4 linked regions of the Alligator mississippiensis genome follow. The protein of the gene in region 1 binds, or shares a complex with, the protein of each later gene. Links are inferred from orthologs where the notes say so. Each region holds a gene or a part of one and is shown in the gene's direction. Other genes may lie near its edges.

Region 1 (7,534 bases):
TACTGGTGGCGGGGGCTGTCGGAGATGGGAGTCTGGCTGATGGGAGACTCATCAACGTGCCTGGAACAGTTGTTCCAACATTCCTTGCTTCGTCTTTGGGGAAGGCTGTGAGGAATGTGAGCCAACAGCTGCTAGGTGGCCAGCAGGGACCCTGCACTGAGGGACCCAACCGTGCCGCTCCAAATGGATCTAAGCAGTAGTTCAACCTGTGCCTTCCTGGTTCTCTAGAGGCAGGACCATTGGCAAAGCTCTTGGGGGCTGGTCCTGCTCTGAGCAGGGGCTGGACTAGATGTGACCTCCTGAGGCCCCTTCCAGCCCTCGTGTTTTACGATTCTAAGGCTTTGCCTGGGGCAAATTCAAGCTGTCATTGGTGGCCATCCCTCGATTCAAGGATGAGCTCTACCATGGTTCATGGATGGGTCTTGACGTGGCTTAAGAGTGCAGTCCTTGAGCCACAGATCTGTCCGCAGATGTTGCAGACCTTTCTGCGGGAGAGCAGGCTGCAGGCTGGCATTCCCCGCCTTTTCCTTCCTCCGCTCTCTCTCCTCTGCTTAGAAGGCAAGAAAATTTCCCTCAAAAGAGGCTGCCCCCGGTGGAGGTTGCGATGCCACTGGAGACCGTCAGCAGCCAGGTCCTCCCAGCTCTTGGTGCTGGCGCCCACTATCTGGAGGTTTGCCTTCAACATGATCTCGTAGCGTTTCCTCTGGCCACCGCGAGATCTCAAGCCATTACTGTTCCAGGAGTAGAGCACTCATTCTGGTAGTTGAGCATCGGGTGTCTGCGCAGTGCCCGGTCCAGCAAAGCTGGTGCTTGAGGATCACTGGCTCCATGCTGGGAACGCTGTGTGAGGATCTGGTCTTGAACTTTTGAAGGGGTGGTTCAGACTGGTGGGTCTCAACCTCATCAGACCCCTGGCTCCCCTCCGCACCCTCCTCCTCAGGCAAGGCTGAGTCTTTGCTTTCGCTCACCTCTTATGGAAAAATATCAGTGCAAATGTTGTGCTGCAAAGAACTCAGCAGGGCAGGAGGGACTGGATGCTCTGGGCTCCTCTTGGAGATCTCTGGGTTTCTCTGGTGAATTGTGTCAGCTGTTGGGCACAGACCAGTACTAATACTGTGCAGCTTCCTTGAAAGGGTCTTGCAGCACCCTGCTGCTGCTCGGGTGAGAATCACGGTGTTGGACAAACCAGGATGGTTCAGCCAGGGCTGGTGTTGCCTGGGGCAGGGGGCTGGGCTGGATGCAATCTTCTGAGCATCTGGCCCAGCCTGATTTCTTCTCTGCTCAAGATGGGACCAGGGAGAAACAGGTGCTTTCTCTGTTCTGGCAATTACATTTTTCCTGGACTGCACTGAGAGTCAGGAGATGGGTCAGAAACAGCTTTGGGGCACACAAATGGTCAGGTCAGAAGCATCCTCCAACCCCTCTTGCTTCTTGTGTGTTCCCTGGACTATTGTGGCAACAGGAAAAATGCTCTGTTTAGCCGTCACTGGGAAACAACCTTCCTCCCAGAGGAACTCGGGCTTATCCCAGTTCTGTAGGCCAAGCCAGCGGTCCTCTGGAGCCGTTGTTCTGTTCTTCCAACAGATCACACTGACTAAAGTTGGACAACAAAGCTGAATGCATCATAAGCTGTGCAGGAGCCAGTAGTGAGCTTTTGCTGCAGCCAAAGCCATTAGCCTCCCGGGTTGTATTAACAAGAAGGTTGCTTGCAACTCCAGTGATTCTTCCACTTTGTACAGCCTTGGGGAGGCATCACCGGAAGTCCTATGTCCAGTTTTGGGCCCCGCACTTCAAGAAGGTGGACAGATTGAAAGGAACCCAGCACAGAGCAACACAGATGAGGAGCAGCCTGGGAAGCGGGACTGATGAGGAAAGGCTGGAAATACTCAGGGGATCAAGGCTGCAGAAGAGAAGACTGAGGGGGGATTTGATCACAGGCTTCAAACCCCCAAATGATGATGAGAAAGAGGATGAAGATGGCTCTCTCTCTGTGGTCACAAGGAAGGGGACTAGCAGCAACTTCCTCAAGCTGCAGCAGTGGAAACTGGGGTAGGGGAGGAGGAAGAACCTTCTGATTCTAAGGGGAGTTGAGCATTGGACCAGGCTGCCCAGAGAGGTGGGGGAGTCTCCATCTCCAGAGATCACCAAGAGAATGTTGGATGCACTTGGCTGGATTAGGATTGTCCCCGACTAAACCAGCCGGAGCCGGGGGCTGGACCAGATAACTGGTGAGGCCCCTTCCAGCCTGACTTCCCTACAGTCGTATACTAAATAATGTGTGTGCAGTTGAGTTTATTATAAATGAAGGTACTTGGAGCCAGGACTCCTGGGTTTCGTCCCAGCTGAGAGTGGCATGGCATTCAGTAGCCTAAAGTAGGGGGCCTGGGAGCTAAAATACCAGGGTTCTAGCCCAGCTCTGGGACAGATGTAGAGTCTGGTGTGATGGAGCAGTTAGGAGCTGGGAGCCTGGCTACCTGCATTCAACTCTAGTTCTAGAAAAAGATGTGGGGTGAATGGGGGATTAGGGGCTAGGACTCCTGGGAGTGGAGTGGGGGTTTCCAGTGGGTTAGAGCTGGAAGCCCAGGATGCCTGGGTTCTAGTCCCAGCTGAAGGAAGGTGAAGACTGTTAGCAGGCAGGGTAGATACGCACCTTTATGGACTGACTAACTAAATACACACGCACGATATATAGAATGTACGTGTGAATCTATATGATGGGTGTGCTTATATATGTATATGTCAATGATTTGTGTATAACTATACATATGATACATTAAATCTGTGTGTGTATACCATATAAATATATACTTACACATGCATAGTAGATACAATATAGGTGTGTGTATATATATATATTTATATATAATATAAATACACGTGTACACATACACTATATAAATGATACATACACGTGCGTGTGTATATAATATATAATAATGATGATATATAATATATAATAATGATGATGAAGATGGTGATAATATGATGTGTGGGTGTATAATCACAAACTTTTTTGAATCCAAGTTCACTTCATCAGACGTTTAAGGGCTACTTGGCACAGCAGTACCCCTGGACCTGATAAGAGCACCGAGGACTCCTGGGTGCTCGTTCCAGCTCGGGGAGGGGACGAGTGGCCTGAAACCCAGTGCTGAGATGTGGTCGGCAGGCCAGCGTTCCTCAACCCGTGGGTCACGACGCAAGAGCGGGTTGCAAGAACAGATGACGGGTTGTACGTGAACAAACTTTAAAAATGGAAAAACGTGGGAAACCGGGGTTTTTCCCTCGCAGGCTGGCACATTTCCAGCCTGCCAGGGGCCGCTTGGGCCCCCCCCCACCCCACACTTCTCCCACCTCATACAAGGGGCAGGGGGGGCCAGTGGGTCGGGACCGGCCACTGATGTTTCCAAATGGGTCCTGGTACAAAAAAGGCTGAGAACCACCAGTCGCGGAGGCAGAGCTCCGTGGCTCCAGCCCCAGCTCTTCCTACTCAGCGACCGCAGGCGTGTTTCTTCCCCCCCGGCCCCTCTCCATCTGGAAGAGGCTGTTGGCAGGGACCCGCCCGCGGGTGTGGGAGCTGCACTGTTATCCTGCGCGCTCTGCTGCAGCTGGGCCCAGGATGAGGTGCTGGGAGACGAAACATGGCCCCCGGCTCCGCGGCCCCCGTGCCCTGCCAGGCTCCGGCCGCTCGCACGCAGGTCAGGCCAGTGCCAGGCTCGGGACAGCGGAGCCAACGTGGCGGCACGGGGACGAGGGACCCCTGGTCCCTGCCAGCGCTGGACCCCTCGGCCCCCGGCCCCGCGGGAGTGGGGGGGGGCCGTGGGAGCCCCAGGTTGCATGGGAGGGTGCTGTTGCTATGGTCACTGCCCCAACAACCCCCTGGACCCCCCATGTGTCCCCCTTGGCTCCGCCCCTCCTCTCTAGGCCCCGCCTCTCCCGGGACAGGTGCCCGTAGCTCCGCCCCCTCCTCTCTAAGCCCCGCCCCTCGCCCCAGGACGTCCCCCGACGTGCCCCTAGCCCCACCCCGTCCCCCCAGGCCCCACCCCGTCACTCACGCCACTCATCCTCGTTCTCCTGGTTGCGGCGCAACACTGGCAGGCGGCAGCCCTCGGACACCTCCCCCTGCAGGCGGGACAGGCCGTTAGCGGGGTCCTGCCCCCCCCCCCGGGATCCCGCCCCGCGCCCCCCGGCCCCCACTCACCACCTCCGCCATCTTGGGCCTCTCGCTGTGGGGGGAGGGGGAGAGCGGCGGGAGCCACCCGCCTCCACTTCCGGGAGCGGCCGGGCACCACTTCCGGGTTCCCCGTAGGCTACTTCCGGGACGCGGCAGGGTCACTTCCGGTCGCGCCGCGGAGGCCACATTTTCTCTGCTGGCGGGGAACGGAGGGGGATGGAACGCGATGACGCCAAGCTCATTTGCATAAAGAGGCGTGGAGGGAGGCAGGATGGAATGCTGCGGCTCTGTGGTCATTTGCATAAAAGGGGGCGTGGAGGGAGGGGGATGGAACGCGGCGACACCGCCCTCGTTTGCATGGAAGGGGGCGTGGAAGGAAGCGGGGGTCGGTCCCCGCGACGTCACTCAGCTAGATTTGCATGCCCGGGGGCGCGGCCTCGGAGGGGCGGGGCTTTCCCAGCAGCGCCCGGTCACATGGGGTGGGGCATTTCCGCGTGCGGCGACGACGCAGTCGGACCCGGGCCCCGATCCCACGGCGGGAGCGACCCCCTCCCCCACCCGGCCCGGCCCCGCCCCCCCCGGGGGGCCAGGACCCACCTCTCCTTGAGCCCCGCCCTCACCGAAGCCCCGCCCCTTCCAGCCCCCAGTTGGGGTTCGGACCCCCATACACTCAGCCCCGCCCCCTCGGCTTAAGCGCCGCCCCCAGCCTGGGGACCTCTCCCCTTAGTCCCTGCCCCCTCTAGGGCGGCGGGGCCCCGTGACACCCTGCCAGGACCCGCCCGCGGCCCCGATGGACGGTGAGTGCCCCCGGGGGTCGGGGTGGGGCTGCGCCGGGTGGGTGCAGGGCTGGGGGGCGACGGGATTCCCAGGAGCTCTCGGGGTGACCCCCCCCATCCAGCAGATCCCGCCCTGGGGCCAGGCTTGCTGGGTTGCGGCTGAGTCTGGGGTGATGCGGATGCGGCGGGGCCCTTGGGAGCCAGGAAGGGGCCGGGGTGGGGGGAGAGGAATTGTCTGCCAGGAAGGGCCGGAGCCGGCCGGGGCTCCCTCCAGCTCTGGGGGGGCCGGGGCTGAGAGCAGGGCAGGGAGCCTAGAGCCGGAGGCCTGGAGTCCCCCGCGCGCGCGGGAAGCGGAGCGGGCTCGGTTCTGCCCGACCGTCTCTTCCGGCCTGGAGACGTGCGTTGTGCCACCAGCCGCTCTTGTGCTGGTGGCTGGAGAGGGGCGTGTGCGTGTGTCACGGGGAGGGGACGCGGGAGAGCCCAGGCGTCGGGGCCCCCAAGCCCCGCTCCCCGCCCAGGCGTCCCGGCCCAGCTGGGACCCTGGGGTCGATTTGGCCCCGGGCAGTCGGAGCCTTGCTCCCAGGCTGAGGTCATGCGCTGCTCCCAGGCTGTGTGTGTACGGAAGTGTGCATGCCTACGACATAGGGCTGTACGTGTGTATGCATTCAGGGCAGGTACACTCCTGGGTGTGCACATTATAGGGACACGTGTGTATGTGTCCATATGAGATATGGACGTATGTACGCTGTGGGGCAGGTGTACATACGATATAGAGACGTGTATACAGGATAGGGACGTGTGTGCGCGCGCACAATAGGAACGTGTGCGGGTGCGTACAATATAAAGACACACGTGCATACGATATAGGGACGTGTATACATGTGTGTATGCATAGTATAGGATCCCGCGTGTGTATGGTTACATGCGATACAGGGGGACACGTGGGTATGTACGATAAAATGATATGTATGCATGTCTGTGATATAAGGACCAGTGTTCCTATATTGTGCGCACACACACCCCCCCCATACGGGTCCCTATATCATATCTACCCATACATGTTCCTATATCATGCGTACACACACACACATGTTTGCGCACAGGTAGATGTAAAACAGGCATGTGTGGGTATGTGCAGTATAGGGGCACGCATGTGTATGTACGATATTGTAGATAATGTGCATGATGCAGGGACATGTGTGCAGGACGTTGCGTGTCAGCGTGTGCACGCATGCTCATGTGATACGATGAACCCAGAGTCCTGGGTCCAGTTTTGGGCCCCGCACTTCAAGAAGGAGGGGAGTGGATTGGAGAGAGGCCAGCGCAGAGCAACGCAGGACGGGCGGAGGGGGAGAGATCTGCGGGGATTGAGTCTGGGGAAGAGCAGACAAAGGCGGGGATAGCACGGGATGGGCTCTGGCAGCTGCTGCAGGGGAAACAGAGGCAGGAGACAAGGAGGACCCTTCTGGCTCTGAGGGGATCTGGCATTGGAGCAGGCTGGCCAGAGAGGCGGGGGGGGATCCATCCCTGGAGATCTCCAGGAGCTGGCTGGAGACCCGGGGCCCGGCTGGTTAGAGACGTTGTTCGCCGCGTGAGCCTGAAGTTGGGTAGGCGGCAGGGAGTCGGCCCCTGATAAACTCACTGGGACAGGGAGAAGTAGAGACTGAGACCTAGACCTAAATCTGGGTATCAGGTATAGACAGGTATAAAGCTAGATAAATATAGGTGTAGATAGAGAGATGCAGGTACAGACCAGTGTAAAGATACCTAAATATGGATGGATATAAAGAGAGAGAAATAAAAGTAGGTGTAGATAGCTAGATATAGGTATAGAGAAATATAATGATAGCTAAAAAGAGATAAATATAGCTAGATACAGGTATACCTGGATATAAAGATAGATAAGTAGCGATAGAGATATATCTATCTATACCTGTACTGATCTAGATAAATAGGAACGGGTATAGATATGTAGATATAGACATAGAAAGATAGCTATATAGAAATAGCTGTATAGAGAAAGATCCAGGTGTAGACAGATATAAAGCTAGCTATATCAAGATAGCTACAGGTAGGTAGGTACAGGTATAGACGGATATACAGATAGATATAGGTATGGATATGAAGAAAAACAGAGATAGGTATAGGCAGATGTGGACAGATACAAGTGTAGACAAAAAAATAGAGGTCAGTATATTTTGATACAGGTATTGACATATATAGAGGTAGCTATAGAGAGGTAGGTATAGGTACAGGTATTTGCAGATGTAAAGATAGATGGATGTGCATGTAGGTAGATGAAGGTGAGCACAGGTGTAAAGACAAATAGAGATAGAAAACTGCGGGTGAGTATGAAGGTGGATAACGAGAGCTGCAGGTAGATGGAGGAACAGACGGGGAGAAGAGTAAATAGAGAGAGATGTAAAAATAGATGTAGATGGATATAAAGATGGAGAAGTATCTCTTTTGGGGGGGGGGTGTCTGTACACACTGTGGTGAGTCTCTAAAGGTGCATCTCTGCCCTGACTTGAGGCTGAGTTGAGACTAACATGGCAACTGCCTGTCTACTCACGTATGTCATAGCGGG
Region 2 (7,385 bases), about 3.1 Mb from region 1:
ACATTTGGGGACCAGGGAGGAAAAGATCTTCTCTGACAGGAGACAAAGGAAATAAGACCAGTGAGGTCCAGGAAATGGCTAACGAGAAGATCGCTAACAAGGAGCCAGGAAAACCTCAAGGCTTTCAGCTCCTCTGGGCTCCACAACGCGACCTGCTCTGGGGGCCGATCAGCTGTTTCTTCCTCTACAGGAGCTCTGAAACCCCCAGGCTGGACAGAGATCCCCACCTCCCCTCCGTCGACAGGCCCCATCAGGGGGCAAAGGCAGCTGCTGGACCCGGCGAGCCCCCGGACCCCCGCGGCCGCGGTACCTTTCATCCAGTCCAGGTTGTATTGCTTGCGGCAGGCGGTGCCAAGGCAGTGGGAGGTGAAGAAGGTGCCATGCGCTTCCACCAGGTCCTCGGCCGCCAGCCCGGCCACGCGCTCCAGCGTGTCGATGTTCTGTGGGGCACAGAAAGGGCAGTCCCAGCCATGAGCCCTGTGCCCAGGCCAGCTTACAGGGCTGGGGGAGTGGGAATGACTGGGCACAGCTGGGGTGAAACTGCCCACCCCTGCCACTGATCATGCCCCCCACCCCAGGGGTTTTCGCTCACCTGGGTGTAGCACCGCAGCAGCAGCCCCTTCTCCTTCAGCAGGCGCATGAAGTAGTGGCACACGGTGGGCTGGGGAAGAGCGGGGACAGTCACTTCCGTGTCCCCCCCCCATAGGGGAGAAAGGGCAATTTAACCATGCACCCACTCCCTTAAGTCCAGCCCTTGTACCCCAGGAGGCTCTGGGCACCGGCTGGGAGGGGTGAGGACCACCTGCCCACCCAGTGCTGCCCAGCAAGGAGGCACATATTCGACCCAGGCCCATTGGGGGGTGGGGGGAATGGGTGAGACGCAGCTGATAGCACTGGCAGGGTCTTCCCTGCTGCTGCGGGTGGGGGCTGGTGCGGGCAGGCTGGCACTGCAAGGTCACGGCTCTAACGCAAGCAAGCTCCGGCATCAGAACGATCCCAGAGGAGTCGGGGCTGCTGGCCAGCCCAGGGCAGGGTGACAGGCTGGAGACCCCCCAGCCCCATGGGGCAGCTGAGCTTGCAGGGGGCAGACGCCAGGCTGTGTGGGGGTTGGGCCCGATGGGACCTGGGCGGTTTTCCAAAATGGGGCACAACTCGCCACACTGAACCCAGGGGTCCGGGGCCCAGGTCCTCCGCTTTGCAGAAGCAGGGGCACAACCCAGGCGTCCTGGCTCTGCTCTCACCCCCAGCCCCTTCCCTGCGCAGGGAACCCAGGCATCCTGGCTCCCAGGCGCCTCGGGGCTGGGGCAGGGTGGGTTTACCTTGAACTGCCCCGGGTACAGCTCCTTAGCCAGGGCGAAGAACGGCTCGGGGTTTTTCTGCGTGGAAAAAAGCAAACGGCCAAGTCTCTGGGGGCGCGTAGCTTTAAACAGCTTCCCCCACATCACTACTACCCCCGTGGGGGGAGAGCGGGCTACACTCTGAGCCCTGATTAGGGGGAAAGCCCCCCCCCCCCCAATCAGAGCCACCTCGAGATTGCCCAGCTTCATTATCGGTCCCCCAGCCCTGCGGGTGACCGATCCTGACCTGGGAGAAAGGGGGCCGGGGGGTGTCTGTTGTGGGTACGGCCTCGGGGGCATACCCCAGATGTGCGCGGGGAGGGGAGGGGAGCGGAGGCAGGGGAGCACAGTGCCTGGCCGAAGGGGCGCAGGGAAGAGGGTCCCGGGCCCATACCTTGAAGAAGCGGATGTCGAAGATGGCTTCGGGGTACGGCAGGTTGTAGCTCGCCAAGTTGGCGTAGAGCCCCGTGCCCGGCGACCGGAAATCCGGGATCCCCGCAGCTGGGAGACACCGGGGGGAGGCAGCTCAGGGGCCTGCGCCTTGGCTGGAGGTGGGGGTCGAGATGCAGGGGGGGGGGAAGAAGTGGGCTGGGGTCCCATAAGGATCTTCTCTTTGGCCCCACCGGTGTTACCCGCAGCTGCCGCGCTCCACCCCAGACTCAGCCGCGTTTGCCTGCCTCACGTTTCCTCATGTGTAACGTGCCCCGGAACAAAGTGCCCGCCCGGCTTTTTCCGGCAGAAGCAGCTCTTACCGTGCTACCGTATTTCCCACGCGTCACATTCGTGCCCGTTTCCAGCAGCTGGTTTGGGGTGGGGGGCGGGGGGGGAAGCATGCGTCGTAGGCGAGAAGATCCGGTCGCTGCCCGCCCAACGGGGGTACGCTCCAAAGGGGGGCAGCGGGGGGGAGTGAAGGGAGTGAGCCCCGTACGCACAGCTGCTGCGCTGCACCCCAGAAGCGGCTGCAGCGAGTGGCAGCGAGCGTGGGGGGGCTTGACCCCTGACCCCAGGAGCGCGGGGGGTTAGTCCAGCCGGGGTACTTACAGGTGGAGATCCCGGCTCCCACCATGCACACGACGTTCTTGCCTGCGAGATAAACGGGGGTGGGGCGGGGGGGTGACTTCCGCCCCGGGTACAAGCGCCATCCCCCCCCTCGCCCGCAGCAGGGTCCTCCGTGCTGCCTTGGGGTCGAGGGTAAGCGCCCCCCCCGGGGGCCCAACACCCGGAGGGGGAGGGGAGGGTCCCAGGCGTTCAGCGTCCGCCTGCCCGGGTCCCGTCCCAGCCCGGCGGGGGCTTACACTGGTCGCTCAGCATGAACCGGCTCACGCCCTCCAGCGTCAGCTCCTCCAGCACCTTCTCCGGCCCCTCGCCGCCCAGGCCCAGCGTGCGCGACAGCAGGGTCCGCAGGAACTCCACTGCGGAGGGGAAGGGCAGCCGTCACCGCCGCGCACGGACCCATTTCACAGACCGCACTGCCGGTCGGGGCTTGCTGGGGGGGGTCATGCAGGAGCCACGAAATTCCTCCCAGCCGCCCCCCCCCCACCCCGGGGTGCGAGCACTCACTCTCGGACTCTCCGGAGGCGCCGGCGCCGCTGTCCGAGTCGGAGTCCGAGTCCTGAAGAGACGAGCGGAGTGGAGCGGAGCGCGCCGTTACCGCGGGTTTAGAGCGCAGCCCCCCGCCCCCCGCCCCGCTGAGACAAAGGCGACGTCGCAGGTCGCCGAACCAGCGGCGAGGGGCGAGGGGCAGCGGGCTCGGGCTGCAGCCGGGCAAGCTGGGGCTGGAGGGGTCAGCTGGGCCCCGCCGGACTCACCGGGGAGTCGGAGCCCGGGCCTGGCCCCGCGTCTGCGGCCCCCGGAGCTGCGGGCAGAGGGGGGGGGTCAGTCACGGAGGGGGGGACCCCAGGGAGGGGGCAGGGGGACCCGGGGGCGGGGCCTCACCCTCCTGCTCGGCCATGGGCCCCGCTCCTGGGCCCCGCACTTCCGGGGCCCGCGTTATGTCACCGGAAGCGGAGCCATCCACGGGGGATGACGGGAGGAGACACAGCCAGAGCTCCCATCATGCCCCGCGGTGAGAGCCGTACTCCAGCCAGGATCCAGACTCCACTTCCCATCATGCCCCACGCTCCATTCCCCCCTCCCCCCTCACGCCCCGCGTCCACCACCATGCCCCGCGCCAGGATCCAGACTCCACTTCCCATCATGCCCCACGCTCCAGTCCCCTCTCCCCCCTCACGCCCTGGGCGGAGAGCCCCGCACTCCATCCCCCATCATGCCCCGCGCCAGGATCCAGACTCCACTTCCCACCATGCCCCACGCTCCAGTCCCCTCTCCCCCCTCACACCCTGGGCGGAGAGCCCCGCACTCCATCCCCCATCATGCCCCGCGCCAGGATCCAGACTCCACTTCCCATCATGCCCCACGCTCCAGTTCCCTCTGCCCCCTCACGCCCTGAGCGGAGAGCCCCGCACTCCATCCCCCATCATGCCCCGCGCCAGGATCCAGACTCCACTTCCCACCATGCCCCACGCTCCAGTCCCCTCTCCCCCCTCACGCCCTGGGCGGAGAGCCCCGCACTCCATCCCCCATCATGCCCCGCGCCAGGATCCAGACTCCACTTCCCATCATGCCCCACGCTCCAGTTCCCTCTCCCCCCTCACGCCCTGGGCGGAGAGCCCCGCACTCCATCCCCCATCATGCCCCGCGCCAGGATCCAGACTCCACTTCCCACCATGCCCCACGCTCCAGTCCCCTCTCCCCCCTCACGCCCTGGGCGGAGAGCCCCGCACTCCATCCCCCATCATGCCCCGCGCCAGGATCCAGACTCCACTTCCCATCATGCCCCACGCTCCATTCCTCCCTCCACCCCCCATCATGCCCCGCGCCAGGAGCCAGACTCCACTTCCCATGATGCCTCTCGCTCCATCCCCCCATCACGCCCTACGCTAGGACCTAGACTCCATCTCCCATCCTGCCCCGCGCCAGGACCCGTCCTCCCGGCCTGCCCCGCGCGCCGCCCACCCCGCAACAAGCCGGGCGCGCATTGGTGGGCGGCGGGGATTCCCCGGGAGCTGCCCCGCCCCCCTCTCCCGTCGGTGCAGCGGGCCCGGGGCTGCGGCGCCCCTGCCGCCATGTCGGGCCAGGCCGAGGCCGAGGCGGAGCGGGGCGTGGAGGCCGAGAGCGAGACGAAGGCGGGCCCGGAGGAGTGGTGCGACAGCGGGCTGGGCTCGCTAGGCGAGGGGCCGCTGTCGCTCCCGGGCGCGCCGGGCCCCGAGGGCGGCGGGGAGCGGGAGCGGGATCGGGATCGGCTGGACTCGGCGCTGGGGGACGAGGAGGAGGAGGAGGAGAAGGAGGCGGCGGCCGTGGGGGCGCTGGCGCAGGGCGTGGGGTCGGTGCGGCTCCGCGACCCGCCGCCCGTGGCCCCCGAGGCCTGGCTGCGCCACGTGCTGGGCTTCCTCACGGAGGACGGCGACACGTAGGTGTGGGGGCGGGGCGGGGCGGGGGGCGGGGGGCTGCCTCCCCTCCCCCACCCCACCCCGCCCCGCCCACCTGCGCCTCCCCGCAGCGCCCTGCACCTGGCCGTCATCCACGAGCACGAGCCCTTCCTCGACTCCATCCTGCACTTCGCGCGCGGCACCGCCTACCTCGACCTGCAGAACGACCTGGGCCAGGTGAGGCCCCGCCCCCGGCCCCGCCCCCGGCCCCGCCCCCCACCTCACCTCACCTCACCTCACCTCACCCCACCCCCGCGTCTCCCCCAGACCGCGCTGCACATCGCCGCCATCCTGGGCGCCGCCGGCTTCGTGCGCAAGCTGACGGGGGCGGGCGCGGGGCTGGGCCTGCGGGAGAAGGGCGGCCGCACCGCCCTGCACCTGGCCTGCCGCGAGGGCCGGCGCGACTGCGCCCGACACCTCCTCGCCCCGCCCGGCGCCCGCCTCTACCTGGACTGCGCCAACTACGACGGTACGCGCGCACGCCGCGGGGGGCACACCCCCTCCCCGACCCACCCACCCACCCCCCTGCCCCCGGGGAGCTGTCGTGGGGGGGGGCGGCCGAGGCCGGCGTCCATCCCGCGCCTCGCTCCGCACGCAGGTTTCACGCCCCTGCACGTGGCCGTGCTGCAGAAGGACGTGGAGATGGTGAAGCTGCTTCTGGGCGCCGGCGCCGACCTCGATAAGGCGGTGAGTGCCGGCAGGGGGGCGGCACTGCTGTAGGCAGATCGCAGCCGACGTAACGCGAGGAGAAAAGCGGCTTTACTCCCAGAGGGGGGCTGGGTTAAGTCCACCTCGCTTGTTGGTAGAAAGCTTAGAAAAATCCGGTCACAAGAAGGCATCTCGTTAGTCCCGCGAGGCATCGCTGCGCTAGATCGCGCCCGAGCCGTGACTTGGGAGCCCCTCCGGGGATGGGGAGTCTGCGGCGTCCGGGAGGGGGACCCGGCAGGGCAGGACGGGATGGTTGGAACAGTCAATGTCGAGATCGTTAGCGAGGAGAGAGGGTCGTTAACGCCTGCGGAGCAAAGGGATTAGCAGGAACGAGGGAGCGGTGAAGTCAGTCGAGTCCAGGCTGCCTGGGTAGAAACGCGGCTGCCCCTGCCACGCAGTTGGGTTTACAGATTGGGTAGATGGGTCGACGGGGGGTGCCCCCCCACCACCTCCAGATCTGCCCCTGGGCGTTACCACCCCCTCCCCCCCTCCCTGGCCTGTGCCGGCAGGAGCCGAGCTGTGGGCGCAGCCCCCTGCACCTGGCGGTGGAAGCGCAGTGCCCCGAGGTGGTGGAGTGCCTCCTGCGCGCCGGCGCGGACCCCGGCGCCCGCATGTACGTGGGCTACACGCCCCTGTACAGCGCCCTGCACCGGCCCGACCGCAGGATCCCGCAGCTGCTGCGGGACTTCGGCTCCCAGGAGCCCGACTGGGACTCGGAGCCGGAGAGTCCCGACGACGCCAGCGACGTGAGTGGGGCGGCTGTGGGGACCCTCCTGCCCCCGGGGGGGCTGGGTGGGAAGCTCCTAGTGGTTAGATCCCCCCCCCCCCCAGCCGTTAATGAGACGAGTTGGGGAGGTCTCAGTCGTTTGCTCCGCCCTAATTCCTTCCGTCTCTCCCCTTTCCCTCCAGGATGAATATGACGACATCATCATCAACAGTGGATATTATAAGAACTGATGGGGGGTGGTCTCCCCTGCCCCCCTCTCCTCTCCTCTGCGGGTGGATTTGGGACAGCCTCGTTGCCCGGCCCGGCCTCTGCTATTGCCAGTGGCCCCCCGGACCCCCAACGCGTCCCCTGCCCGCTCTGGGGCCCCTTCATCTCCTGCCGGCCTGAGACCAGTTTGTTGTGCCGCGGGCAGGGCAGGCTTGGCCCCTACCTCGCCAGCACCTGCCTGCCCTAGTGTAGAGGAGCCCCTGCCGCGGCGGCTACCAGCTCTAGATCTCGGCTGCCAAAGACCTGAGGTCTGTAGAGCGGTGCCGATTGCCGCCCCCCCGCTTTAGGATCCCAGACTCTTGGGCTCTCGTGCCCGTGACCTTTGGGCTCTAGTAACCCCATCTCCTTCCAGCGGTGGCACAAGTCGGGGATCCCTCCCCGAACTGCCCCTTCCACCTCTCAGCCCCGAGCTGTGCAGACATGGGGGCAGGGAAATGCTGCTCTCAGACCAGAGAGACCATTCCCAATACTGGGCTGGACTGGTCCCCTATCCCAGTGTGGACACAGTGGTGCCCAGGGGGAGGACCGGGTTCTGTCTCTGCTCCGTCAGCTGTGGGAGGTTTTGCCCACCCGCCCCTTGCAACTCCTCCAGCCCTGGAGGCGGGGAGCTGCCGATCCCTGCCTCGGCCCTGCCCCAGGGAAAGGGGCGTGTGTGTCTCCTCTCCGTGTGCGTCCAGCTTCTCTGTGTGTGGTGTGGCCCCCCCGTGTCGTTCCTACCACTCCAGCGTGCGTCTGCGTGGTCCGTGTCTGCGTGCCTGTCCTGTTCTTGTCTGGATCTTGCCCTGTGCTGTGTATGTTAACGAGGGTGGGTGGCTGGGTGGGGGGGGGCACGTGATTAAAACTCTTGCCCCATTCAGT
Region 3 (7,267 bases), on another chromosome or scaffold:
AGCACCAGACAGTTCTTACTATTAAAGTGGAAATCAGGAAATCACAGTCTAATGCATTTGCTCATGGAAGTGGCACGAGAACACTTCATCTACCTTAAAACTGATGAAAATCATGCTGTCTCTTTTCAGTGTTCTAGCCCCCAAAGCTGCTTTAAAGTCTCATTCAGGTACTTTAAGGGAGTTAGAGTCAATACAAATATATGGTTTCTTTGGCACAGTGATACTAAAAATTGAGTTCTCAGGCCACCCAGAGGTGAACAGGTTTTACTGAATCCAGCCTTTAGGTATCATATTTTTTCTCCACTTTGTGTAATATTATTTCTCATGGATATATGTTCACAGAGTTGTTTAAAGAGCTTTGTACAAGTCCAAAGAGTCATATAAGCAGTAGCTTCTCCACAAAGCATTCCCTGTATTATTATCCCCATGTGACAGGGAAAACCAAGGCACTTAGAAGATCTCTGAAATCCTTTTCTGAATGAGATACCACTTCACCCTTTAGCCAGTTCATCATGGAAAGTATTGTACTGGTCTGAGCTGAAAATGACACCAGGTCAGAATCACCTCTCAAACAGGAGCAGATAAGGAATAGATGAATGTCACTGAAATTGTTTCATAGATGCTAAAATAGAGAAAGTGAGACAAGAGATAATCAAAAGAGGAGAGTTATCAGGATTTAAGATTAATTCAAGCTTGGTGTCAATGACTCCCATTCCCACTGACTTTGTCTCACTTGTACCAAGCCTGAATTCTCCTTCAGCTGCTGTTTCTCAGCATCCATAATTCCTCAGTGTCTTTACTCACTTCAGTTCTCCCAAGGTTACCCCATTGCATCGCGCTGCAGTTAGACTCTCAGCCCCTGAGAGAGCAGGAGTTACCTTGGTTGTGTCCCTGCACCCACCCACTCAGCTCCATTTGAAATCCCCATCCAAGTCTCTGTCCCAAACTTTAATATTGAGTTAGTAGTCTGCCTGTGAAAATAGGCATGCAATATAGCCCACACAGCTAAAAGTACAAATATTTGTTTAAGAAAATGGTGATAAAGTTCATTTGTTTCCATTTCAATCAATTATCCTTGCACCCAGTAAAGAAAACTTATAAATAACCTACTGGAAAAATGCTTATGCTTGAAAGAGTCAATATTCTGCATCACTGCTTAAAATCTTTTCTTTAATACAATTTTGTACCATTGTAAAACTGTATTCTGTATATGTCTTTAGTTGTGATAGTTATCTCATTTTAAATATCGCTCCATCCATCCATCTGAATTAATCTATTGTCTCTCATATACTGAGATTCTAACTTCTTTGAAGAACAGATGGTCTTTTGGTCTACCTGGCACAGTGGAGTCCCAGTCTGTGTTTGACTCCCCTAGGTTTAACCAAATATGCTATTACTACTGCTGCTACTATGAATAATAACAACAAATTTCAACCTCTCTCACTATGAACAAATCTAATCACAACATTCTATGCTGTGCGAGTCCAATCAAATCCCAAAGCTTCAATCACCTTGTTTGGGCTGTATTTAGATGCAAAAATTCTGGTCAGGTTTCCTATGCTGCACCTAGCTGGAATCTTCCTTAGATGAGCACTAAAATGCAAGACTATATTGAGTCACAGCTACCATATGAAGTACTTCCTCACCCCGCTCAGTCCCAACAAACCTTTTGAAATGATACTCCACAAAGATCCAGCAGATGTCACTATATGCCCTGACTAACAATCCAGCTGTCCTCTTTAAATTGAGGATGCCTTATACTTAGCAATTATAGGTGAAAGAAATCAAGTCTTGAAGCTGCTACTTAAGCTGGAGGCACTCAGCAACACAGATGTCTTAACAACTGAGTGAATCAAGTTAACAGAGAAGCTCAGATATATTATATGTAGTTAGAGCAGAGGTTGTCTTCAGAGAGCTCAAAATATCTAACTTCACATGCTTTGATGTTTGTTATGATCATGTAATGTGCAGCTCTGCACCTTTAGTACTGGAACCTCCAAAAACTAAACTTTTGCTTGTTTAAAGAGTTGATATGATAGCCTGAAACATCTGTGAGAACTTGGCATTTGCATTTCCATAGAGCAGGAAGTAGGTTAACCCTGATGTGACTTTCCATAAAGAAATAATTTTCCATTCTTCTTCTAACACCTATGTTTGCTTCAAACTGATGAAACTTACTTAAAGATGAAGACTTGAACAAAATTAGAATGTCCAGGGATTCAGTTATCTGTACAACTTCAGTTGTGGAAGGAAGTGGAGAATGTATTTTGCTAATTCCAAAGTCATCCATTTAAACTGGAATGTGAAATGTTAAAATTTATGTTGATTCTGGCAAAACTGATTGTGGGGTTCCATATTCTTCTTGTGTATTATTCCTCCATCATAACAACAAGGGCAAGATTCACCTTTAAACAAGAATCTTTAGTCTTTGTAGAGCAATGGTTTCAATTTACTTAGAGAGATTTTCCTTAAAAAATAATTTCCTGCTTAAGGATTTAAATGAAGAAGAAAAATTGTTTCAAGAAACACATTGAAGGTTCATGCCTCTTAAATTAAGAAAGAAACTGTTGTGGAACTTTTATGAACCTGCCCAAAGAAACCACCACTGGGTTCTCCAAGGCCTAGTGACGAATATTGTTACTTTTTATAAGTGTGTGGAAAAAGTCCAGTAATGTTACTTCTGGCCTGAAAATTAAGTTGGCGTATCATATGCGCCTTCTCTACTGACCCCCCACTTCTCCTTGGATTTTCTCATAAATGTTTTCACAGGAATGCCATCCCAAGGGAAGAAGACGAGAGAAAATTCTCAGATGTTATTACTCAGTGTCGTCAGCTACAATTGCAGAAAAAAACCTCTTGGAAAACCCCCTAAATCTGAGGAAAAAATGCAAGCTTTGTCAATGATCCCAGCCAAACTAGCTTGTTGAATTCTACATGTCTGCCAGTACGGCTAGAAGTATCTTTTATCAATCTAGGAGCTTTTGGTTTTGGTTATTCCTTTACCAGTGAATGTCACTGCACACAATAGATACTTCCAGCAAAGGAGAGATGTGAACAGCATAAAGGCTAAAAGAAGTCACTGTTCCCAATTTGAACAGCATTTGTTCTTTTGAATACATATGCTCTGGGAAAGAAGTGAATTTAACCTTTGACTGATACTAGACCTACAGGAATGGAAGTGGAACTCCTCTATCTATGCCTCATCTGACTGCATTGACGCTGGCTGGAGTTTTAGTACAAACTTCAGAGGGCAAAGGTGAATCCCCCTAGAGAGAGTACCTGTACCAAGTAGGTTGCACAAGTAGAGAAGAGTTTATAGTCTGCAATTGCGCAAAGTAGATCTCTGAAAAGCTTGTCAGACTCCACAGACAATTCTGAGGTCCGGGGTAGCTAGGCTTATTATCTGTGCAATCATTGTTCCATACATCTCAGTAGTGTCATTTGTCCTAACCTAATGAAACCAAAAGCCTGTTACCGAAGTACCATGTTACCAAACTGACATGGAACAGACTGGGCAGCTCAGGACCACCTGCACAACAGGTCAGTTGCTTAGCATCACGGCTGCCTCACAGCTCAGGCCCCTGCTGCAGCCTGAGTGGCACTCAGGGGAGCTGCATGTCACAGTGAGTTTGGCCAGGTCATCCCCCTGCTTCTGAGTGAGCTTTGTGACCAGAAGGGCAGCGCAGCACTGTACCTAGATTCCTGGCAGCCCTGGGCAAACTTTTAGTATTGGGCCCCCCTGTGCTAGAGATAATGATAATAATAATCGTTACTGTGCCCTTTCTGTCTGGGCCCAGTCGCTTGATTTGCCTATGCCTGTGTCCAGCCTTGAGGACAAGACATTGCTTTGGTGCCGCCTCCTCCAGAAAAGTCAGGCCTGAGAACCCCACCGAGGACCTCCGGCTGCTGCGCTAGCTGCTCCGCTCCCACTTGCCTGTGCCGGGCACAGAGTGGGCCCCGGGACGGGGAGGGGGCCCAGCGCCACGGAGCCCCCTGCCACAGAGGGAAAGCTTGAGGGAAAGCCCAGGCGCAAAGGAGGGGACACAGGGAGAGCCGGGGCCGAGGCCGAGCCGGGACGTCCTTCCCCTGCAGCTGAACAGAAAAAACCCCCAGGCTCGGCCCCGCCAGGGGATTCCTCAGGCGAGGCGCCGCCCTGCAGCAGCAGCAAGGCCAGGCCGGGCCGAGCACAGCAGGCCTGGCGGTGACTGCGCTGGAAATTCCCGGGCAGGCCCCGCCCCGCAGAAATCCCCCCGCCTCCGCCCGCGCCTATAATGCCGCGCCGTGGCCCCGCCGCCCGCACGCAGATGTTGGCAGCGTCGGAGCCGTGAGTAGCCGTAACTCCGCCATGCACAGCCCTACGTATTGCCCCGAGCTCGGCCTCGGCCCCGGCCTCGCCATGGTGCCGCGCAAGGAGCGCGCGGCGCTGGACGACCGTCACGACAGCGGCCTGGACTCCATGAAGGAGGAGGACTACGACCAGCTAGTGCGCGACCTGCGCGACATCCGCCTGCAGCTGCCCGCCGCGCAGCCCGCGCCGGCCCCGGCCTGGCGCCACCAGCTCACAGACGACGGGGACTCGTAAGTGGGGCCAGGATTGGGGTCGGGGTCGGGGCCGGGGCCCCGCGCACGGAGGCCGGGGCGGGCGGGTGGAGCCGCTGGAAAGTCCCTGGAGCGCGGCCAGGGCGTGTGGAAAGCCCCGGCCGGCGCCGGAAAGCCCGGCCTTGCGCAACGCGCCGCCTCACCGGGACTTTCCCTCCCCCGCAGGTTCCTGCACTTGGCCGTCATCCACGAGGAGCTGGCGCTGAGCCTGGAGGCCATCCGGCAGGCGCGGGCCGAGCCCGCCTTCCTCGACCTGCAGAACCACCTCAGCCAGGTACCTGCCCCTCCTCCCTGGGCCCGGCGGGTCGGGCGGCTGGGCTGGTTCGGGCTGGGCCCTGCTCTGCGTTTGGCACCTGGCTGATCCCACTCTTGTCCTGTTTGGCCCCCAGACGCCGCTGCACCTGGCCGTGATCACGGATCAGCCTGAGATCGCCGAGGCCCTTCTCAAGGCCGGATGCGACCCTGAGATCAGGGACTTCCGTGGAAACATGCCGCTGCACATCGCCTGTGAGCAGGGCTCCCTGAGGAGCGTGGGGGTACTCACACAGTACTGCCAGGCGCACCATCTGCACGCCATCCTGCAGGCTGCCAACTACAATGGTACGCTGCTCGCAGCTTACGCCAGTTCGAATAGACAGCCCTTAGAGAGGGCATTGGCTTTTTGCAACCAAAGGAGTTTTAGAAACGTGCCAGCCTCGTCATTCCCATTTCACAGATGTGGAAACTGAGGCAGGAATGGAACTTCCTTAAAGTCTCTCTTCAGTGGAGCTGGGGATAAGTCACAGTTCTGCCTGCCAGTCTTTGCTCTGTCCACTGACTCTTGGCACTTGAACTTCCAGCATCTAGTGCTGTGGGGATTTTCTTTTTGGTTTTTTGGCTTATATTATTTTAATTTTGACATTTTGGATGTTTTCTTGTTTGGTTAAACAAGCTACTGTGGAAAATCAAGATGACTTTTTTCAGTTTTTTGGGTTCTTTGTTGGGTTTTTTTTTTTGTTTTTTTTTTGTTTTGTTTTTTTTTAAGTAAAGCATCTAAGAAATAAGGTTCTTCAAAAAATTGATGTGAGCCTCCTATTCTATGAGCACTCTGGTTCACATAAAAATTTCGCCTTTGATTTGGAGCAGTGGATTCAAATACCAAAATATTATATAGGGTAGAAAGGAATTTAGATCTGAGTGAGTGATAATGTGTAATGGGGGAAGTAATTAATGTTTAAATGTGTTTGCCTTTCAGGACATACATGTCTCCATTTGGCATCTATTCAAGGGTATCTGGCTATTGTGGAATGTTTGCTGTCCTTAGGAGCAGATGTCAATGCTCAGGTGGGTATTTGAAGCTCTTGGTTTAACTGGATGTGATAGCACAGCCATAAGAACACACAGTTCTGTATTGTCACACTTAACTCCTGAGACTAAATATCCTATTTTATTTTTCTGAACAGGAACCTTGTAATGGCAGAACTGCCCTACACTTAGCTGTAGACCTGCAGAATTCAGAGCTGGTGTCACTTCTGGTGAAACACGGGGCAGATGTGAATAAAGTGACCTACCAAGGCTATTCTCCGTACCAGCTCACATGGGGAAGAGACAGCTCCATCATACAAGAACAGCTGAAGCAGTTAACCATAGCAGACCTACAAATGCTGCCAGAAAGTGAGGATGAGGAAAGCAGCGAATCAGAATCAGAATTTACAGAGGATGAAGTAAGTATTTATTTTCACCTTTTATTGCAGAAAGGACCTTCTATGCAAGTTGCCTCCATTAAAGTTGTTGGAAATATGCACACCTGATGCCCTTAAGTTTTAGGGTTGGGAGGTGATATTTTGGTGGGATACAAAATTTGGTCTGTTACCACACTGGATATAAATCATATACAATCAAGGCAGACTAAGAGGTTACAATAGCCAGCATTAGAAATCCAGTAGTAAGGGCTTGAGTACTAGACACCCAGTCCTATTGCAATAATTTTTCTTAAATGTAGATGTCATTTCTGGATCACTGTTTATGGGCCTTAATGAAGCAAAATTCACAGTGATTCCAAAGTGCTGTGAAATGTTGCACTTTTATTTCTTTATGATCAGGATCTTGTTAAGGGAAAGAAGAGTGATAAAACTAATGTTACAGTACAATACAGCCTTAAGAAATTATATGGTTGTTATTGAATGTTGGTGTTCAAGTCATCTCAGATTAAAGATTACATTCTGCTTACCTTAGTTGTGTGAGCAGTGATACTGAGGTTGAGACTAGCAGAGCTTGACCTGATTTTGCTTTGGGTAGATCTGAGTGTTTCCTATAAAAGTATTGCATTGACTTATACTCTTCCTTTTCCCTTCTAGCTGATGTATGATGATTGCGTTATTGGAGGACGACAGTTGGCATTATAAAATGGAGTATTCTCAGAAAGGACATGAGTCTGTACATATGTATAACAGAGACTTACTTTCTTTTAAAAAAATGGAGAAATGTGAAAAAAAAATACTGAAATACACTGTACAGCACAGAGCACATGACTATAACAGCAAGATTCATGTTCTGAGCTGCATTGTAATTATGGGAGAAACGTAGAAGATCAGTAGAAATCTGTGACGAATTACACCACTTCTCAGTTAACTGGTTGTCCTAATATATGATCAGTATGAAGACAGACTGCAGTTTACCTGAACATGCA
Region 4 (7,886 bases), on another chromosome or scaffold:
ATAGGAACTGGATAAAAAAATGGCTTTTGGAAAGATGAATCATCTCGTGGTTTTTATTTCTGCCTATTGATTCTTCTAGCTTCTCCTGTCAGTTACTGCCATTTTTTTACTTTATTCATTACATACTTTTATACAAGTTTTTTTCCAGGTACTTTGGATGGAATTATAGTTGAACTATAGAAACGGTATGTGGTTAAAGATCAGCTACTTGCTTTTCTCACAGGAAATGACCAACAGCTACATAATTGGCATCTTTCACATTTTTCTCAGAGTCCAAGCTTTGTCAGTCTGCTAAATGCGGATTAATGTTTCAGAATTTCTTTCCTTTCCCTATTCTAGATTGCACAGCCAGGAACACCATATTTTTATGTTGAACTGGATACAGGGGAGAAGCTTTTTCATCGTATTAAGAAAAATTTTCCCTTGCAGTTTGGAAGGTTTGTTTTCTCCCTTCTTAATTCTTTTGTGTAAAATAACAACATATGTATTGAATATGCTCCCCATACTTTTTTTTAACCAATAACCATTGAGAAGGAAGCTGGGGATACGTAGAACCTGGAATTACCAGCTACTTTGTCTTATTTACAGTAAGTTATTAAGCTTAATCTTTGTTTTAGATCTCAATCGCTCACAAAAGTGGGGTAAGTATTATCCCTATTTACAAACATACCCAATATCATAGAGCAGTATGATGGCAAAGAGTGAATACACATCTCTTGACTCCCATATTTGTGCTTACTACCAGAAGACCTTCCGTTTAAAGAATGAGGCTTGCATTTTCTTGCCCTCTGCAAAAATTCTGTGCACCTGCTACTTGATATTCTGATCTCTGTCCCTACATTCAAATCGTTTTAAAATGTTTGAACTGGAAAAGTTCAGTGTGGAGATTAAGAATCATGTTTGTACAAAGTATTGTCTTAGTTGCATTTACTTTTTACCAGTAAATTGTCCTTTTTAGCAAAGAAGCAGGTAATGCCTCTATATAGACCTATTTCTAAATTAATAATAAGAATTGCTTCCTTTCAAATGCAATTCAGATGCGTTCCCCGTGAATTAAATGGCAGTTTTTCTATTAAATTCAACATGAGTCTTTAGATAGCCCCCACAGTACTTGATTTTGTAGTCTTATTATTTCTAGCAATGTGCTTGCACTTCAAAGATTGCAACAGTTCTGCAGCTGATTGTTTTGGTTACAGGGAAGTCCTGGCTAGTGAAGCTATCCTGAATATTCCAGATCGGGCAGACTGGAGGCAGTGCAAGTCCACCAGAGAAGAGGAGGAGGCATTGTCCAAAGCCTTTCGAGAGGACTTTGAACCTTTTGACTTTTCTTTGCTGCAGTAACTTTGCTTTTCCAGTGGGAAGCACTCAGTGGTAGGACTGTCTTGCCAAGAGCACTGCTGTCCTGTTCCTGTTCATCACCATCATTCATTTTAACACTGTACTTGTTGCTGAGTTTCGCTCTGGTCTGACTCAACTCCTGTGCAGAACTGAGGTTAAAAGTGAACAGTCCAACTGCAAGGCATAATGGGGCAAAGGATTTCCCTTCTTAGTCTATTTGACAGCAGGAGGACCAGAGCCCTGGAGCAGGCTGTACTTTTTGCTGAGATTTTTAATCAAAGGAATAAACTCTATTTCTCTCTGTGGTCTGGTTGGTTGGTTTCCTAGGCAAGCTTCAAGCAGTGCTGGATGCAGCTGAGGCCCTGGAGTGGTGTTGATGGTACACAAATAGCGTAGGACCTGTCTGTGGGGCTGGGGCAAGGCTGGTCCTGCCACAGTCAGATAAATTTTGGAGCAGTTGTCATGGGTGAGCACATGGTCCAGGAAAGGACATTATCAGGAGGGAGCTGGTGGGGGGTGGCAAGATTGCTGCCGTGGCCTAAGCAGACCTGACATCTGCAGTGACCCAGACTGCACTGCCCTGAGTGTGGAAACATATGATGCAGTTGGTGTCGCTCAGGGTGTACTGCAGCATGTCTCTCAGCAAAGAAATCGCACCACTGAAACGTATCTTGTTTCTAAAGTGGCTCACAAGGTGGCTGAGTATACTGCTGCCCTTCTGCTGCAGGGGGCCTGAGAGAACAGGCAGACTATGGCCAGCATGCACAACGCCTGGTCCTTCTGGGCTGCTCTTCTGGTTCAGGTAAGGGTGCAGTGGGATCTAATGCACAATCACCTGTCCAGCTGTGCTACATGTGCATTTGCAGGAGGTGTGACTGTGGTATGGATAAGATCCCATCATGCCTTATTGCTGGTGCAGGGGGAACCCAATCCCAGGCTCCCCCTGCATGGGCAAGAAGCAAGCTTGCAGCCAGGAGCCCCCTCAGCTGGCAGGGCTCCGAGCCATGGGGGTACACATGGCTTCCTGCAGCTAGGAGCTTTGCTCAGCTGACGGGGCTCTTAGTCACAGGGCCCCCTGGCTACACATTTAAGTAATGGCATGATAGGTGCAGCTGCAAAGTTGCTACAAATTTTGTAGAATAACTTCCTAGCTTTTTTCTTTTCTTTTTTAATCATGCCAGTAACTGAACATGTGGCCGGGTGACCACTTAAGACATGATTAATCAGCTAAGTCATGACTTAAGTGTACTGTAGATGGGGCCTCTCCACTGGTTGTTCAAAGTGGTGGGTGGTGAAATTTTAAGTGGGTGGGTGGAGAATGGTAACTGGATGGGGATGGTAAAATCATTGCAGGAGGGATTGTGCTTCAATGTCCTTCACATTTGTGCTGCTGCTCTGACTCATGCTCCCCCTCTCCCCATTCTGCCCCCCTTCAGCTCATCACAGGGCATGGTGCTGGGAGCAGCTCTGTGGTGCAGAACCCAAGGACCAAGAGACCCTGCCATTCTGCACATCCCTCAGTTCTTGTCTGTTGTCAAAAACACTTGATATGTTTGTAATGAAGTACCAGACCCCAGTAAACAGTGTAATCTGAATGCAATGGTTCATGTAGTCTTTTTCAGCTCATGCAGGGGTGGGGGATGCTGGAGGGGCATTTATAAGCCCGGTCTGTCTTGGGTGGCAAGGGGGTTGGGGGCAAATCATTGGCTGAGTGCTGCTGGGCTAGCACTGTAAGGGGGTTGGGAATGAGGCTGGAGTTGGGAAGTGTTGGCAGGGGGACCATTTCCACTCAAGGCAGCTGGATTTGGTCTGCAGCTTAACCTGCTAGCCCCCTGCATTCCCTGTGCTGGGCTGGGGGGGTTAGTTGGGTTTGTTGCCCCAGCCCCACTTTACCCTCCCAGCCTCCACTCCCCTCCCCTCACACTAGCACAGGGAGGTAGAGAGCTGGTTCTTCTGGAGTACCTGGTCTGTCTAGTGCAGTGGTTCTCAACCTTTTTAGTCTTGAAGCATCACTTAATAGACTTGAGACGCACATCAGAAAATGCCAGTTCTAAGTTTTCATTTGTTTCTGACAACGGAAAAATAGAGTGTTTGGTGTTTTTTTCTATTCCAAAGAACTCAGAAAGACCACAACGAGTCAGAATACTTTTAATGTTATGGATTCCTACTTGAAACCTCTGGAGTTATCTCATGAATCACATCTGCACACCTAACAGTGCTAACATTGCACAGCATCCTTGAAAGGATCTCAAGGCACCTCAGGGTGCCCTGGCACCCTGGTTGAGAATCACTGCTTGAGGGGGATAGGTGGCTAGGATGCTGAATATAGTAGGATGCAGGAACCTCCTGGTTGTAGTTGTCTGAGCCCATATCAACTTCCTGGGGGAGCACCAGCGGCAGTAGAAAGGGCTGGGACTTACCAGGGTGGATGTGCTGGCCTGGGAGGGCTGTGTCTGTTCGATACTGGTCATGGCCAAGTCCTCAGTGTGAACTGCTGTGGTGCCCCTCAGGTTTGCTGTGTTGCTGACAACAAAGATGTGTGATGGTGCCTCGTAGTGGCGACACGAGACTTTATTCACCCAACCGTTTGTTTTTCCTTCCGTCTTTGTGACCTGCTGCTTGGGATCTCTGCACTGAGACCAGCACCGGGTCCACCCACGGTCACATAATCGAGTTGCCATTTCCCTTGTGGTCCTCTGATGCACGCTATTATCTTGCTGGCTGGAGCTGCGTGCATGTTGAACGTCGATCTGACCCCGGACTGCGAGATCAGTTCCCTCCTCTGGGACCGAGTTGTTGCTGTGCTTGGTCTTGTCAGCCTGGAGGGGCCACAGCAGTGAGGCAGGCTGCTTGCATGGGACACGTGAGATTGGTTGCAATGGGGGGGCTCTGATATTGTCCTTGGGAGGCGAGCAAGTAAAATGTCTGGTTAATTGTCATGCAGGGCAGTATGTCGGTGGCAGGAACGATCCCTCTGTTCGAGGATCCCTCTGTTTAAGGTGGCAGGAACAATCTCTCCGTTCAGCCGTGGCTCACTGATGGGACTCGGGGATGGTTTAAGAGTCTAGTCCTTCAGCCACAGATCCAAATTTGGCACAAAAATGGTGGTAAGTTTGTGGTTGGTTTCCATTGTGCCTTAAACCAAGCCAGGGCGCAGGGGCCCTGGCAGCGTGGGGAGGGGCCAAGTCAGGGCATGATGCTGCTCCCCTGGCCCCCAGTGCTGGTTGCTGGCAGGATGTGAGGTGACCCACCACCAGGTGCTTGGGGCAGGAGGGCTCCCGGGCCTGCATCAGCTCCCACCCCAAGGCCTTTGGGTGAGGCCCCCCACCAGCTGCCTGTGCTGAACGCAGTGCATGGTGGGATAGCTGGAGGCCGCCCGGCGCCAGCCCCGCCCCCTGGGCCGCTGGGGGAGGACGCGGTTCTGTGACGTACAAGCGCAGGGCGGGGCTCGGCTCAGGGCCGGGGCGGCTCTCGCGGAGGAGATCTCGCGAGAGCCGCTGACTTCCGGCTGGCCGGAGTCGGGGTCGTGGCCGGGGTCGGGCGGCGGCTCAGGGGGGCGCCATGGAGCGGGGCGCCGTGGGCGTGGGCGCGGCGCTGCGCGGGCAGCCGAGCGGCGGCTGCGGCCCCTGGGACATGCGGGAGCGGCTGGGCACGGGCGGCTTCGGCAACGTCTGCCTCTACCAGCACCAGGTGTGGCCGGGGGCGGGGCCCGGGGCTGTTGCCATGGAGACCGCCCCTGCCCCCCCTCCTGCGCAAACACTGCCCGGGCGCGGATCCCGGGGCCCCCGCGGTCCAGTGGGTGGGTGCTGGACCCAGGGGTGCTCGTTGTGGCTGCATGCAGCTGGTTTGCTAATTAGTTTGGCTTTTGTGCCACTGTCCTGAAAAAGGCTACAGAGAAAGGGGTGAAATGAAACAGACCCCAGCGGTGACCCCCTTCCCTCCCGGTGGCCTGCCCAGTCACCCCCAGCTCTTGTGTTGCAGGAGTCCGGTGAGAAGGTGGCGATTAAATCCTGCCGTCTGGAGCTCAGTGTGAAAAACAAGGACCGGTGGTGCCATGAAATTCAGATCATGAAAAAGTAAGTCTGCCTCTGCTTCCTATTACCCTTCCCATCCAGGGGGAACTGCGTGTGGCTCGGGCACCGGTGCGTCATAAGCAGTCTTCACTTGTGAGGTGGGTGATTAGCCTGTCTGCAGTGGCCTGTTGTAGCCAGAGAAGCACTTGGAGAGCGGCCATGATAGACATGCAGGGTGCTCCACCTCAGCGGGGAGGGGATGGACCACATCACACTTATAGGCTCAGCAGTGCTACACTCGCTAGCACTGTGACCGAAAGACTTGGGGGTCATGATTGACCACAAGATGAATATGAGCCACCAGTGTGATACTGCAGTTGGCAAAGCGAACAAAACCCTGGCTTGCGTCTACTGACGCATCTCAAGCAAGAGCCAGGATGTTTCTCCTGCTGTATTCGGCCTTGGTGAGGCTGCAGCTGGAGTACTGCATCCAGTTCTGGGCTCCACAATTTAGGAAGGACATGGAGAAGCTTGAAAGAGTCCAGAGGAGAGTCATGTGCATGATCAGACGGCAAGAGAACAGGCCTTGTGAAGAGAGGCTGCAAGCCATGGGACTTCAGCGTGGAGAAGCGCAGGCTCAGGGGTGACTTGGTGGCCGCCTGTAAGTACATCAGGGGTGTGCACCAGGAACTGGGGGAACGCCTGTTCACCAGAGCGCCCCAAGGGATGACAAGGTCCAACGGTCACAAACTCCTGCAAGGCCGTTTTAGGCTGAACGTAAGGCAAAACTTCTTTACTGTCCAAGCCCCCAAGGTCTGGAACACGCTCTTCTCAGAAGTGATGCAAGCACCTACTCTGAACACTTTCGTGAAACGTTTGGATGTTTATCTTTCTGGGATCTTTTGATCCTAGCTGACTTCCTGCCCCTTGGGCAGGGGGCTGGACCTGATGATCTTACAAGGTCCCTTCCAGCCCTAACGTTTATGAAATCTATAGTGGCAGTTCCAGCAGGAAACGCAGCAGTAGGCTCTGCTTCAGCTGATCTGCACCGTAGGATTCCCAGGCTGCTGTGATTGTCTACCTCCCTTTGGGTAGGGGAGAATTAATTACAAAAATTTGGCCAGATAACACTGTTCCCTGCCTTCCTAGCAAATGCTTCTTGGTGGCCCTGAGAGCATGGTTGGGGCAGCCTGAAGTTTGATAGGAGAATTTTGGGCTGCATGCAGATGTGACCTTGGCATAAGACTATGCAGTGCTTAAAGCAGCTCCCTTGAACTGAGGGCTTGGTGGGGGAAGGATATCATCTCTGGTTTAGATAGGGTTTGCCTCAGACTCCGCTTCCAGAAATTTTCTATTTTAACTGGTTAAAGCTGCATATTTGGCCCACAGAGAAAATCATTGGGGTGCTGGAGCAGTTTTGTCACATTAGCAGCAGTTTCCAAAGAACAAGTCTGTTGCTGCTTTATAACAATCCATCTTCTTGCGGTGAACTTCCTGGAAGTAGAAATGGACTGTGGGACTTTGGAGAGACATTTGACACAAGAATCTCTTTGAGAGGGAGGGCAGGGGTGACTTGGACTAATTGAGGGAGTGGTCAGAGGATATGAGGTTCCCCTGGGTGGTGTCCCACAAGAATGCAGGATCTGGTCACAGTCCTCAGGAAAGTCAAGGGCAGACCCTGTCTTTAGAGACAGAGGACTTGTACCACCCTAGCTAAAAGAAAAGGGAGGATTTCTTGCTGGGACTTGGAAGTTCCCTAATTTTTATCTTCTGTGGATAGGCAGGCTATAGATAACTTCCTTCTGAAGGCCAGACTAGCACTAAAGGTGGAGAGAGGGATTAAAGTCCACCAAGAAGAAGGGGTAGAAGAGGAAGGAATGAAAGGAGCTAGGGATAGAAAGGAGAGACATGGTATGTGGGGGAGATGGGTAAGGAAGAGAGAGGAAACATTAAAAATGGATACAGAGTTAATAGCTTTTTGAAAGAACTAGCTGGGAAAAGGTTAAAGAAGGTAGGAAAACCTGTTTGAGGTGCTATTGAGGTGGAAAGATGGAATGCATGAGTGTGAAACCAGCTTCTCTCCTAGGTTTTTATTTCCCAGGTAGAAGTAAAGCTAAAATAAACTACTGAGAGAGTTTACTTTATGCAGTCTTTTTAATCACTTGATTGATTCTGACCTGGATGTCTGTACTTCAACTGGAAATGATCTCAGTGTGCCCAAGTTTTGTTCCTTCTTTTTAGTTTTGGAAAACAGTTGGGTGTTTCACATGCCCCTGATGTAAACATTTGCTTTCCCAATCTACAAACTTGAACAGCAGAGTGTCTGAGTGCATCACAAACATCCTTGAAGTATCCCGGGGCTGGGCCTTGGAGGAAAGAGTTATTTCCACTTGACAGGGGCAGAAATTGTGGCACATAGTTCAACTCCAGTCCCTTAACTGTTAGACCAGAGGTGGGCAATTATTTCGGGCAAAGGGCCGCTTACTGAGTTTTGGCAAGACATCCAGGGCCATATGACAGGCAGCCAGGGGCAGA

Evidence for each region.
Region 2: the proteins of RELA (region 1) and NFKBIB are in contact, whole or in part, in a crystal structure (PDB 1K3Z), measured with the Mus musculus proteins. The link is inferred for Alligator mississippiensis from reciprocal best matches to the Homo sapiens genes RELA and NFKBIB. Residues at the interface, in NP_033071.1 of Mus musculus: Lys218, Lys221, Ser240, Gln241, Ala242, Asp243, Val244, Arg246, Gln247, Asp294, Arg295, Arg297, Ile298, Lys301, Arg302, Arg304, Thr305, Tyr306, Thr308, Phe309, Ile312, Met313, Ser316, Pro317, Phe318, Gly320; in NP_001293151.1 of Mus musculus: Tyr53, Thr55, Glu56, Asp57, Asp59, Ala61, Leu64, Ala65, Ile67, His68, Gln69, His70, Pro72, Phe73, Phe76, Asn91, Leu93, Gln95, Leu100, Ile103, Leu104, Gly105, Arg125, Val137, Arg275, Leu283, Arg284, Asp306, Lys307, Leu308.
Region 3: the proteins of RELA (region 1) and NFKBIA are in contact, whole or in part, in a crystal structure (PDB 1NFI), measured with the Homo sapiens proteins. The link is inferred for Alligator mississippiensis from reciprocal best matches to the Homo sapiens genes RELA and NFKBIA. Residues at the interface, in NP_068810.3 of Homo sapiens: Arg50, His181, Lys221, Ser238, Phe239, Ser240, Gln241, Ala242, Asp243, Arg246, Arg253, Asp294, Arg295, Ile298, Lys301, Arg302, Arg304, Thr305, Tyr306, Thr308, Phe309, Ile312; in NP_065390.1 of Homo sapiens: Thr71, Glu72, Asp73, Asp75, Phe77, Leu80, Ala81, Ile83, His84, Glu85, Glu86, Leu89, Leu110, Gln112, Leu117, Ile120, Thr121, Asn122, Phe142, Arg143, Leu150, Gln154, Arg218, Asp226, Leu227, Gln249, Tyr251, Gln255, Leu256, Trp258.
Region 4: RELA (region 1) and CHUK share a complex: the UniProt entries of both Homo sapiens proteins name them as parts of the 70-90 kDa complex. The link is inferred for Alligator mississippiensis from reciprocal best matches to the Homo sapiens genes RELA and CHUK.

The regions. Positions count from the first base shown.
Region 1 is NC_081838.1:4,258,213-4,265,746, forward strand, and holds the start of RELA (transcription factor p65), read left to right. Parts: upstream 1-4,533; 5' UTR 4,534-4,961; coding exon 4,962-4,968; intron 4,969-7,534. Other genes in the region: histone acetyltransferase KAT5, read right to left, coding at 4,053-4,119, 4,199-4,210. UniProt on the Homo sapiens protein: NF-kappa-B is a pleiotropic transcription factor present in almost all cell types and is the endpoint of a series of signal transduction events that are initiated by a vast array of stimuli related to many biological processes such as inflammation, immunity, differentiation, cell growth, tumorigenesis and apoptosis.
Region 2 is NC_081838.1:1,160,086-1,167,470, forward strand, and holds NFKBIB (NF-kappa-B inhibitor beta), read left to right. Parts: upstream 1-4,372; 5' UTR 4,373-4,462; coding exon 4,463-4,806; intron 4,807-4,896; coding exon 4,897-5,002; intron 5,003-5,092; coding exon 5,093-5,294; intron 5,295-5,423; coding exon 5,424-5,512; intron 5,513-6,042; coding exon 6,043-6,279; intron 6,280-6,442; coding exon 6,443-6,490; 3' UTR 6,491-7,383; downstream 7,384-7,385. Other genes in the region: SIRT2 (NAD-dependent protein deacetylase sirtuin-2), read right to left, coding at 1-32, 311-440, 593-661, 1,320-1,376, 1,732-1,838, 2,379-2,420, 2,633-2,749, 2,898-2,949 and 2 more. UniProt on the Homo sapiens protein: Inhibits NF-kappa-B by complexing with and trapping it in the cytoplasm.
Region 3 is NC_081825.1:256,790,726-256,797,992, reverse strand, and holds the start of NFKBIA (NF-kappa-B inhibitor alpha), read left to right. Parts: upstream 1-4,264; 5' UTR 4,265-4,345; coding exon 4,346-4,578; intron 4,579-4,764; coding exon 4,765-4,873; intron 4,874-4,988; coding exon 4,989-5,199; intron 5,200-5,833; coding exon 5,834-5,922; intron 5,923-6,041; coding exon 6,042-6,302; intron 6,303-6,935; coding exon 6,936-6,983; 3' UTR 6,984-7,267. UniProt on the Homo sapiens protein: Inhibits the activity of dimeric NF-kappa-B/REL complexes by trapping REL (RELA/p65 and NFKB1/p50) dimers in the cytoplasm by masking their nuclear localization signals.
Region 4 is NC_081829.1:10,062,054-10,069,939, reverse strand, and holds the start of CHUK (inhibitor of nuclear factor kappa-B kinase subunit alpha), read left to right. Parts: upstream 1-4,882; 5' UTR 4,883-4,899; coding exon 4,900-5,028; intron 5,029-5,319; coding exon 5,320-5,414; intron 5,415-7,886. Other genes in the region: CWF19L1 (CWF19-like protein 1), read left to right, coding at 340-437, 1,197-1,341.